Linked DNA regions of Arabidopsis thaliana. The protein of the gene in region 1 interacts with the protein of each later gene in a pairwise test. Each region holds a gene or a part of one and is shown in the gene's direction. Other genes may lie near its edges. The genes, in order: DPBF2 and SNRK2.4.

Region 1 (4,879 bases):
ACGACTAAACTTAATCAGTGTACTTTCCAGTTTGAGTTTCAGTTTATAAAAGGGGTAGATAGCAATCCAAGTCTTATACCCGAAATGCTACAAATAACTTGAGAAGTGTCTAGAAAAATGAAGACCAAAAATATATATATATATATATATATATCTAGTTCACAACCGCAAACTTGAAATTGTCTTGTTTGGCCTCCTAGTATTAAAATTGTATGAAAAATCAATGATGATAATTTATTTTCTTCTTGCCTAAACTATGCTTGTTATGGCTGAAAATAAATGAATTTAAATTTAGCTCAATTGCACATAAATTAAAGGTAATTTCTAGAAGAATTTTGGAGGAAAAACTGAGAATTTAAATGATTATTGATTTTTTTAAAAAATAATTAATTAATTACATAGATTTTTCTTTTCTATTTTGTTTTAAACCATACTAATTAACTCCACGAGAGGAAATTAAAAGAGTGTACAAAAGTAACTTCAGAAACAAAAAGTGTAGAGAATATAGCTAAACAATCCGCCTTAAAATTACATAAACAAGAAATAGAAGAAAAAGAGAAAAAATGAAAGAAAACACGGAATAAATCAAATTATATATACTTATAAAACTTGAATTAAATACTTTTTTGTCAACAATATGAGTTAAATAAAATAATAAGACATTAAATATGAAAGATATTTAATAAATTTATCAAGATAAGGACGAAAATAAGATAAAATTAGTCATATTAATTTTTTGGCTACCTAATTTGAAAATATTGAAAAACTTACCTACTCATATATTAAACATATAATTGGGGTAGAATTTATGCGCACAAATATTCTGTGTAAAACTTTCATATATTTGGTCTAATGAAAACAAATCTTAGATCTAGATCAATTTTCATGAAATAAGACAAAGCTCGCCGTAACGAAGCTTGGCATGACGAAGCTCGGAGAGATGCCGCATAACCCTAGCAGCCACTATATTGAATTAACTATCCAACCTGTTCGCATCTCGGATTTCTAATATTGTATTCACACGAGTTCGAATAACTATTACTTTATAATATTTATTTATTTTAACGTATACAACAGATGGCAGATATCGAGTTAAATATGTGAATCAGCCGTTACGATATTTTAAAACTAGAAAATTATTTAAAAATATTGCAAAATACCATTTAATTTCATTGTTCATAAAAAAAAGAAATTTAAAAACTTAAAAACTGATTCAAAAATTTGGATTAATTATCGTTAACAGTCTTCAACACTACAACAACATGTTTCTAATTTATTTTATATTTTAATAATTAAACAATATATACGTCTGCACATTGTTGCTCCGACATAATCTAGTATAAAAATAGTTGCAGCATATGTGAAAAGCAAGCAGCATTTATTACTCAATACTTATAATTTTATTTGTTGTATGTATTAAGGTTTTGTAGCTTTAAGAAAACGCTTATAATATAAAATAACTTCTAGAAGATATTTCATGCGTATACAATAAATATTTGTGAAAAAACATTTCGAAAACGTGTACAACATATAAACTATTGTGTTATCTTTTGACATTCAAACAAATGTTGACAATGTAATTTTATCCATGATATGATTGGCCAATTAGCTGCGAGGTAAAAATCCGTATACGAGTAAAAGTAAGATAAAATTTCGCAAGAAGAATTTTAGCAGGAAATCTAAGACAAGTGTCATGAACGTGTCAATCAACAAACGAAAAGGAGAATTATAGAATCCAGATTCGACGTACCACATTAATAAATATCAAAACATTTTATGTTATTTTATTTTTGCTCTGGCAGTTACACTCTTTTTCATTGCTCCAATAAAAAAATACTCGCATGCATGCATATATATACACCATAGTAAACTCCGCCTCTTCTTCATTTTAAAAGTATCAGTTTACACTGACACAATCCTTAACTATTTTCCTTTGTTCTTCTTCATCTTTATTACACATTTTTTTCAAGGTAACAAATAATCTTTTTAAGTCACTTTTATACTCTTTAAATCTTAGATTGATATATGAATGCATGTTAATATTTCAAGATTTATAGGTCTACCAAACGATGTCGGTTTTCGAATCGGAGACTTCGAACTTCCACGTCTACAACAACCACGAAATCCAAACGCAACCGCAAATGCAAACGTTTCTGTCGGAGGAGGAACCGGTAGGGAGACAGAACTCGATTTTGTCACTAACTCTTGACGAAATTCAGATGAAAAGCGGTAAGAGCTTTGGAGCGATGAACATGGACGAGTTCCTAGCGAACTTGTGGACAACCGTTGAAGAAAACGACAACGAAGGAGGTGGGGCTCACAACGACGGAGAGAAGCCGGCGGTGCTGCCACGTCAAGGGTCGTTGTCCCTCCCTGTGCCTTTATGCAAGAAAACGGTCGACGAGGTTTGGCTCGAGATACAAAACGGTGTACAACAACATCCACCGTCGTCGAATTCCGGTCAAAACTCCGCCGAAAATATTCGCCGGCAACAAACCCTTGGTGAGATCACTCTCGAGGATTTTCTTGTTAAGGCTGGTGTTGTACAAGAACCGTTGAAGACAACGATGAGGATGTCGAGTTCTGATTTTGGTTATAACCCCGAGTTTGGAGTTGGTTTACATTGTCAGAACCAAAACAATTATGGTGATAACCGGTCGGTTTATAGTGAAAACCGACCGTTTTACTCGGTTTTGGGAGAATCTTCAAGCTGTATGACCGGGAATGGGAGGAGTAATCAGTATCTGACCGGTTTAGATGCTTTTCGGATCAAGAAACGGATAATTGATGGTCCACCTGAAATTTTGATGGAGCGGAGACAACGGCGAATGATTAAAAACCGCGAATCTGCGGCTCGGTCTCGAGCCCGGAGACAAGTAAGTCGGAGTTTGGACCACAATATATAGGAACTGTGTTTTGTATAACATGACTATAGGGGCCATTGGTTAAATCCGGTTTGAAAATTTATTTTTTTTGGCCAAGTTAGAGTTAGAGACTAATTTGGGTTTCACTCTTTATAGGCTTATACTGTGGAACTGGAGTTGGAATTGAACAACCTCACGGAAGAAAACACGAAGCTGAAGGAAATTGTGGTAATTTCTTGATAAAACATTATTTATAACGACTAATATAAGCTATTAAGCTATGATTCATATTTGGAAAACAATATCCTAGTAACCATTTTCAATTTAATACTTTTTGCTAGGAGGAAAATGAGAAGAAAAGAAGACAAGAGGTAATACTCCAATTTCCATATGTACTAAAACGGTTACTTAACGAATATGAATTATCAAAATACATCATTTTGGATTTATGTGTGATATTGTTGGATTCAAAGTTGACAATATCGTTATCTAACAAATATAGCTTAAATGATAATAAGTTAATAACTAAGCTGTGATGGGTTAGTGGTTTTTATTTGAAGTATGAACTTTCATTATAAATTAAGATAGAAATTGATTTTTTCAAGTGATCTTCTACTTCACAATTTAGCGACCATAAAGTTTATATAATTTTAGTTTTTTAAAAGAAAGAAGTTGATCTCTGTGGTTAAAAATATAAATAAAATAAATTAATGAAATGGCATGCAGATAATAAGTAGAAGCAAACAAGTGACTAAAGAGAAGAGCGGAGACAAATTGAGAAAGATTCGGAGGATGGCCAGTGCCGGGTGGTAAATAGATATGAGAGTTTGTGTAATTTACATATGATATTTTATTGATCGTTTCTATCTATACACATAAATATTTGTATCTATATTATATTTTGAGACAAACATGGAATTTGTGTATATAGGATCATTTCTTTTTATATATACTCATAAATCATAATCGCCAGATTTAGTTTCTATGTTTTCTTCATCTTTCTCCGATGCTGAAATTACATCGTTTAATCCGATAATTTTAATCATGTGTTAGACTGTGAGTGTAGATGAAAATTTTGAAGATATTAGAATACACCACTTGCTTTAAGCACATGTTATACAACATACCGAATTATTTCTGTATACACAAGCTGGAAATATTTCATCTCCACTTCTTGATTCTCACATAGTAATTTTCTGAAAAATGCCCTTACATCATTTCCAGAAGCCACAAAACAAAGACCACATTATAGTTATTGAACCTTTTTTTGTTTTTGTTTTGGTCGTCTGCTATATTATCTTCAAAGATATTTTGAAACAATTTTATTACACATGATGATCGATCACGATTTATATATCCCAGGATACAACCGATCACGAACTAATACCCAAACACACTATAACTCAAGCGAACTTAATCTACGATATGTTTTCGAAACTACTAAAATAAAAACTTACTTTTAAGAAGCAAGAGAGAAGCGAGACTTTAAAACTTAGAGTGTTTTGTGTTTGTGAGAAATAATGAGAGACTTGGTCTCTTTATATATAGTAGAGAGAGGTAGGATTTGTGAGAATATTCTCAGGATATGGAATATTTTGAGAATATGGAGTATTTTCGTAAGATTCAACCCAACAAGCCCAATAACTCACAAGCATAACGGTCCACAAACCCGACAGTCCTCGAGTCGACGACGTGACAATTCGCTAACCCGCAATCGGGCTCAGCCAAGTTCGGTTCGATTTGGTTCGGTCCGGTTTGGTCCAAGTTTCCCACTTCACACCCTTATTTCTCATTCAATACAACTTCGTTTTTAACGTATGAGTATACCATCTTGTAGTACTCTTTACCAGCCTTCCATTGCACTAACAACCCGACAATTCCGTTTAACCGTTTAAACGAAATTTGGCTGGAAAGTTACCGAAAAACTATTATGTCAAAAAAGTTGCAACATCCACGACGTGCATCTCTCCCCACAACAATTGGATCATCTATTGACGGTTCTTCCTTGCACCATA
Region 2 (5,450 bases), on another chromosome or scaffold:
ACACTTCTCTCGACATTCTCTGTGGAAAAAACAGAAAAGGTATTGTAACTAGAGAATAAGTACGAATGTACGATAACTGTTAACTAGTATGAAAAAGAAGCTTGTATAAGAATTGAAACGTACTCATGAATTTTATCGCAATCTCACTGTCAATCAGCTCATTTCCACCTAGAACTTCACCAAGACCACCCCATTTGTGAACATTGTTTCCAGATGGGCGGCAAAATGGAAGACTGTAATAGTTGTATGTTTCTTGTGGATTGTTATATGGGCCAACTTTGTTTACCCATAGGGTGACCTGCTCCTCGGCTTGATACTGAAAAAGGTGAAGGCAAAAAAAATTGACTTGACAGAAAAGCACAGAAATGTAAAAGTTTATGGGATTAACTAGTAAGAGAGAGTAAGAACCAAAATTCCATTAGAGAGAACAGAACAAAATGTCAAACGTAGACAGACAGATACTGATAAAGGCTACGTTCAATATCATTTCAAAAATCAGGAGTTAAAGTCTTCACACAAATGATGGTTCCATAGAAATAATGGCTCTTGAATAATGCTACCAGATTGCTCTTGAATAATGCATAACCCGCCTTTATCTATCATCTTTCACGCAGAAAATATATAGTTGGAATCGACTTTAAATGTCACACTACTTGCGAGCGTAAGAAGGCAGAGGAGCAAAAGCATTAAAGCTAGATCTCATGATCTCCAATATCACAAAAGGCAATAACAATTTTGAGCTGAAACTGACCATCAGCAAAAGAAGCCATGTGTGACACTTTCAGTATCACATTTTAGATACCAATTGAAAAAAATCATCAACCCGACCTCGGAACTATAAGATCTACATCTCGAAGATGCTAATACATTAAATGCCACTCAATTACAACACAACTCAGTGTTGATCCAAGTATTTGAACATCAAACAGGCTACCACGTGCAGAAATCAACGAGAATCTCAAACCAACATCAAAATTTCTTATTAAAATCGAGATTGTGAAAAGCCTAAATCACAATGAATAGACAAAATACGCCTAGACTTGCAACGAAAAGATACGCCTAAATCACAATGAATAGAAGCTCGAGGATCCTAGCAATCCGTAAACGAACAGATCCATGAAAAAAAATTCAATCGCAAACACCATGCAAATCACGGATCTACGGACACAGTGCTCGATTTCGAGCTGCATTAAAAGAAAAGAAAAAACGACTGGAGATCCGAGTCTTACCTTGTGATCTGAATCGGATGCGAACGTAGGAGTGAGAAGGGAAACGAGAAGAAGGAACACGAGGACGGCGGCGGAGGAGGAAGACGGCATCGTGAAAACCGGCGGACGATCAGATCTGAGGAAGGACGGAGCGAGAGATACCAATCGAGAGAGAGCGAGATCCTCAGCTCAGTGTTTTCACTTTGTAGAGATTTTGGGTAATACAAAAACAACGATAAGGCTTACAACTTCTTTTTTGCTCTATTAATTAATTGGGCTTGTAGTACTAAGAAACGTATATTAAGTTTAAAACCCATATAAGGTCTTTTAATGTTTGCTCTATTAATTGATTGGGCCTTTCGTTCTAACAAGTGTATATTAGTTTAGCGGCCCATATAAGGTCTATTAATGTTTTCATATACGCGCACGAACTATGTCATTTCAATTAAAATATACACTCACACATGGGAACATAACTTCTTCTTTTTTTGTATATATGTTGAAAAATGTTAAAAGTAGATGAAAATCATGACATAAATTCATTAAAAGGTTACGTTTGAGTGACAATCTTCATAGAGAAAAATGTGATTTATGGACAATGACTCTCTCTATATAGAACCAAAAGAATCTAAGGCGAATTTGCTTGCTGCTGACCACTCGTGTCGTGTAAATAGTGTATAGTTGAAGTGTTGAATTAGGGAGAAAAAAAGCGCGTTGGTGACAAAAAAAAACGTAGTTATACACTCGAATCAGCAAGGGAAACAAACATGTATGGATCGCATGGAAACTTGTGGGTCCCTCTTTCTTTTAAAAAATCTCGTATTAATTAAATAAATGGAAAAAAAAACATGATGGGAGTTTGTTTAGGCAGGGGAGATTCTTCTTCATTCTCATCATTATTTCTCTATTAATTTCACCCCAAAAAAGAAAAAAGAAAAATTCCAACAAGAAAAAAAAAAGAAAAAGAAAGTTGATTCTTCGCTTAGGCTTGAAATCTCTCCAATCCAAATCTCAAATTAACCTTCCATCGTCATCTCTTTCCCTTTTTTTTTCCCACTTTCTTTGCGAATCGCGAGATCTCGGAATCGCATCCTTGATTTTGGGATACTGTTTTTTTTTTTTTTAATCTTGTTTCATTTTCACGTGAAATTCTTAGCTGCTAGAACTGGACTTGAATTTCAACGAGAATTTTGGAGATTTTTTTTTTGTTTGGGTTTTTCCTTTCTGTTTTGTGTGTTTGGAATTAGGGTTGTCGAGCGAGAATGGACAAGTACGAGCTGGTGAAAGACATAGGTGCTGGGAATTTTGGAGTTGCCAGGCTCATGAAGGTCAAAAACTCTAAGGAACTTGTTGCCATGAAGTACATCGAGCGTGGTCCTAAGGTATATTCCTCTCTGTTTTTGTGTTTTCATTGCTCTCCATGAGCTGGTGATCCTATACCCAGATATGCATAATTGGAATGAATTGCTATTAAGCAGAAGAGTCGATTTTTTTTTGTAAATTTCTTATCGTTAGCTGATTGGGTGTTTAACGTAACGTTAGTTATCTTGTAGTTGTAATATTTTTCCTGAAAAGATTTGTACAATGAGTATTTGCTTTGTTTGTTTTTTTTGATACAGATTGATGAGAATGTGGCAAGAGAGATCATTAATCACAGATCACTTCGCCATCCGAATATAATCCGGTTCAAGGAGGTTAGTGAATTTCTTGTTGCTTGACATGGGTGGTGTTCTTGCTATGAAAAAGTTTGTTGATAATCTCTTATATCTTTCATCTTGCATTCCTTGTTGGGTTTATGGATTTTATAGGTGGTGTTGACTCCAACCCATCTTGCCATTGCCATGGAATATGCTGCTGGTGGTGAACTATTCGAGCGTATATGCAGTGCTGGAAGATTTAGTGAGGATGAGGTGAGCTTGCCATTTGAAAAATTGTGCTGTGCTTTTGCGAATATGAAATTACTAGTATTTAGGATAATCTGCATGGTCTTTGGAAAGATTAGGAGGAAGGGAACAAGAGAAAACATGTGAACCTCCTTTTATTTAGTATCAGGCATTAAACAGTTAGGGTCTACGTTCTAATCCTTTCTCTCTTTTCCAGGCGAGATATTTCTTCCAGCAGCTTATATCAGGTGTTAGCTATTGCCATGCTATGGTAATGTAGAGACAATGACTTAAGCAAAATTTACTTATCCATTGGCTGTTTGAAGTCGTTTTTTTTTAATCATGTGTTGACTATTTTGTTGCAGCAAATATGCCATAGAGATCTGAAGCTCGAGAATACGCTCTTGGATGGAAGTCCTGCTCCACGTCTGAAAATCTGTGATTTTGGTTATTCCAAGGTCTGACACTAAAAAAAAATCCAAGTTCCCCCCTTGTCGACGAGATCCTCTTTTGTGATTTGTTATTCTCTTTTTTTTAGTCCTCTCTGCTGCACTCTAGGCCCAAATCAACAGTTGGAACTCCAGCATATATTGCACCTGAGGTCCTTTCTCGAAGAGAATATGATGGCAAGGTAATCAAGCATCATGCACAATGCAATGAACTTCCATAAACCCATGAGTATTTATGATATTGTCATGCTCTTTACATTTTTACTTTTGAATTTAAAAAGTCATCTTTGTGGAAGTCGCTAAGATTTGAAGCATTTTTTCTTCTTTCAGATGGCTGATGTATGGTCTTGTGGTGTGACTCTTTATGTCATGCTGGTTGGAGCATACCCATTTGAAGACCAGGAAGACCCCAAGAACTTCAGGAAAACAATACAAGTAGGTTTCTTTTTTGAAGCCATGTATCTGCATATCTCGCTTTCGCCACATCCTATTCGTCAATGTGTGATCTTGTTATACAGAAAATAATGGCTGTCCAGTACAAGATCCCGGACTACGTCCATATCTCACAGGATTGTAAAAATCTCCTTTCCCGTATATTTGTCGCCAATTCACTCAAGGTATACATCAATCAACTGAACTAAATGTTTTCAAAGATGCCTTTTGATTTTTCTGAACAATTGAGCTACTTGTTGTTTCGTAGAGGATCACCATTGCAGAAATCAAGAAACATTCATGGTTCCTAAAGAATTTGCCAAGGGAACTCACAGAGACAGCTCAAGCTGCATATTTCAAGAAAGAGAACCCAACCTTCTCCCTTCAGACCGTTGAAGAGATCATGAAGATAGTGGCTGACGCCAAAACACCGCCTCCTGTTTCCCGATCCATCGGAGGTTTTGGCTGGGGAGGAAATGGGGATGCAGATGGAAAAGAGGAAGATGCAGAAGACGTGGAGGAGGAAGAGGAGGAGGTGGAAGAAGAGGAAGACGATGAGGATGAATACGATAAGACTGTAAAGGAAGTACACGCAAGTGGAGAAGTGAGAATAAGTTGATATTTTGGTTTTTGGTCTGTGTAAGAAAGAAGTCGTCGTTGGTTTGTTGAAACTGAAAAGTCTCTGTTCTCGTGTTTGCCTTTACAATGCTTTGGCTAAGGTTTTGGTTCTGGTTTTGGAGATTTGTAAAATTTGCAGTATAAGATGAACAAACAGAGAGGTTGATGATGAGAATGAGTCCTTTGCTACGCATGGTACTATGAACATTGTGACCTCCAATAAATATTTTTGTAAATTAGATTTTATTTTCCGAAAAGATTCATGTATTTGATTTTTGGATTTCTTATTTTTATTTTTTTTCGTTCCTTATCATTTTTTTGAAAATGCAAATCTATAAAATACAAATGTCAACAAAAAATCAAATTGAAATGTTCGGAATTCAAAAATAATTGTTTTCTTTTGTTTTTTTGTTTCTGATGCGAAATGTGAATATATTAGAGGGAAAATATCCCGCCATTAGGAAACCGGATAATCTTCTACGGCCTTGAGCTCAAGTCGGTGGTGGCCATTTTATCCTGTGCTTCGTCTCGCCGACTTCCCTGATTGTTTCGCCGCCGGAGTGTTAAAAGCAACGTTACAGAAGCAAGAGACTCCACTGAATCGAAAATGTATTTCCTGGCTTTCGTTTCAAAGTCATTTTTAGGGTTTTCGTTTTGTTCTTTCTCACACCGATTGCGTTTCTTCGTCCTACGAGTGTTAATATTTAGTTGTCGATTAGGGATTTCGTTTCGCATGGGTAAAGATTAATCCTTTAGACTCATGACTGATCGATTCACTTCAATTTCCTGTTTTTTTTTTTGGGAGTATTTTATTGTCTTCCAAGTTCTGAAATAGGTGGGTAATAACTAACCGATTCGTT

The links.
Region 2: the proteins of DPBF2 (region 1) and SNRK2.4 interact in a two-hybrid assay, tested with the Arabidopsis thaliana proteins (one large-scale study listed by BioGRID).

What each region holds. Positions count from the first base shown.
Region 1 is NC_003074.8:16,078,913-16,083,791, reverse strand, and holds DPBF2 (Basic-leucine zipper (bZIP) transcription factor family protein), read left to right. Parts: upstream 1-1,885; 5' UTR 1,886-1,970; intron 1,971-2,057; 5' UTR 2,058-2,069; coding exon 2,070-2,876; intron 2,877-3,020; coding exon 3,021-3,092; intron 3,093-3,205; coding exon 3,206-3,235; intron 3,236-3,590; coding exon 3,591-3,677; 3' UTR 3,678-4,360; downstream 4,361-4,879. UniProt on the Arabidopsis thaliana protein: Could participate in abscisic acid-regulated gene expression during seed development.
Region 2 is NC_003070.9:3,655,191-3,660,640, reverse strand, and holds SNRK2.4 (Protein kinase superfamily protein), read left to right. Parts: upstream 1-2,032; 5' UTR 2,033-2,470; coding exon 2,471-2,590; intron 2,591-2,827; coding exon 2,828-2,902; intron 2,903-3,016; coding exon 3,017-3,118; intron 3,119-3,210; coding exon 3,211-3,234; intron 3,235-3,308; coding exon 3,309-3,362; intron 3,363-3,456; coding exon 3,457-3,549; intron 3,550-3,629; coding exon 3,630-3,722; intron 3,723-3,870; coding exon 3,871-3,975; intron 3,976-4,058; coding exon 4,059-4,157; intron 4,158-4,240; coding exon 4,241-4,591; 3' UTR 4,592-4,828; downstream 4,829-5,450. Other genes in the region: TMN1 (transmembrane nine 1), read right to left, coding at 1-19, 124-316, 1,230-1,319.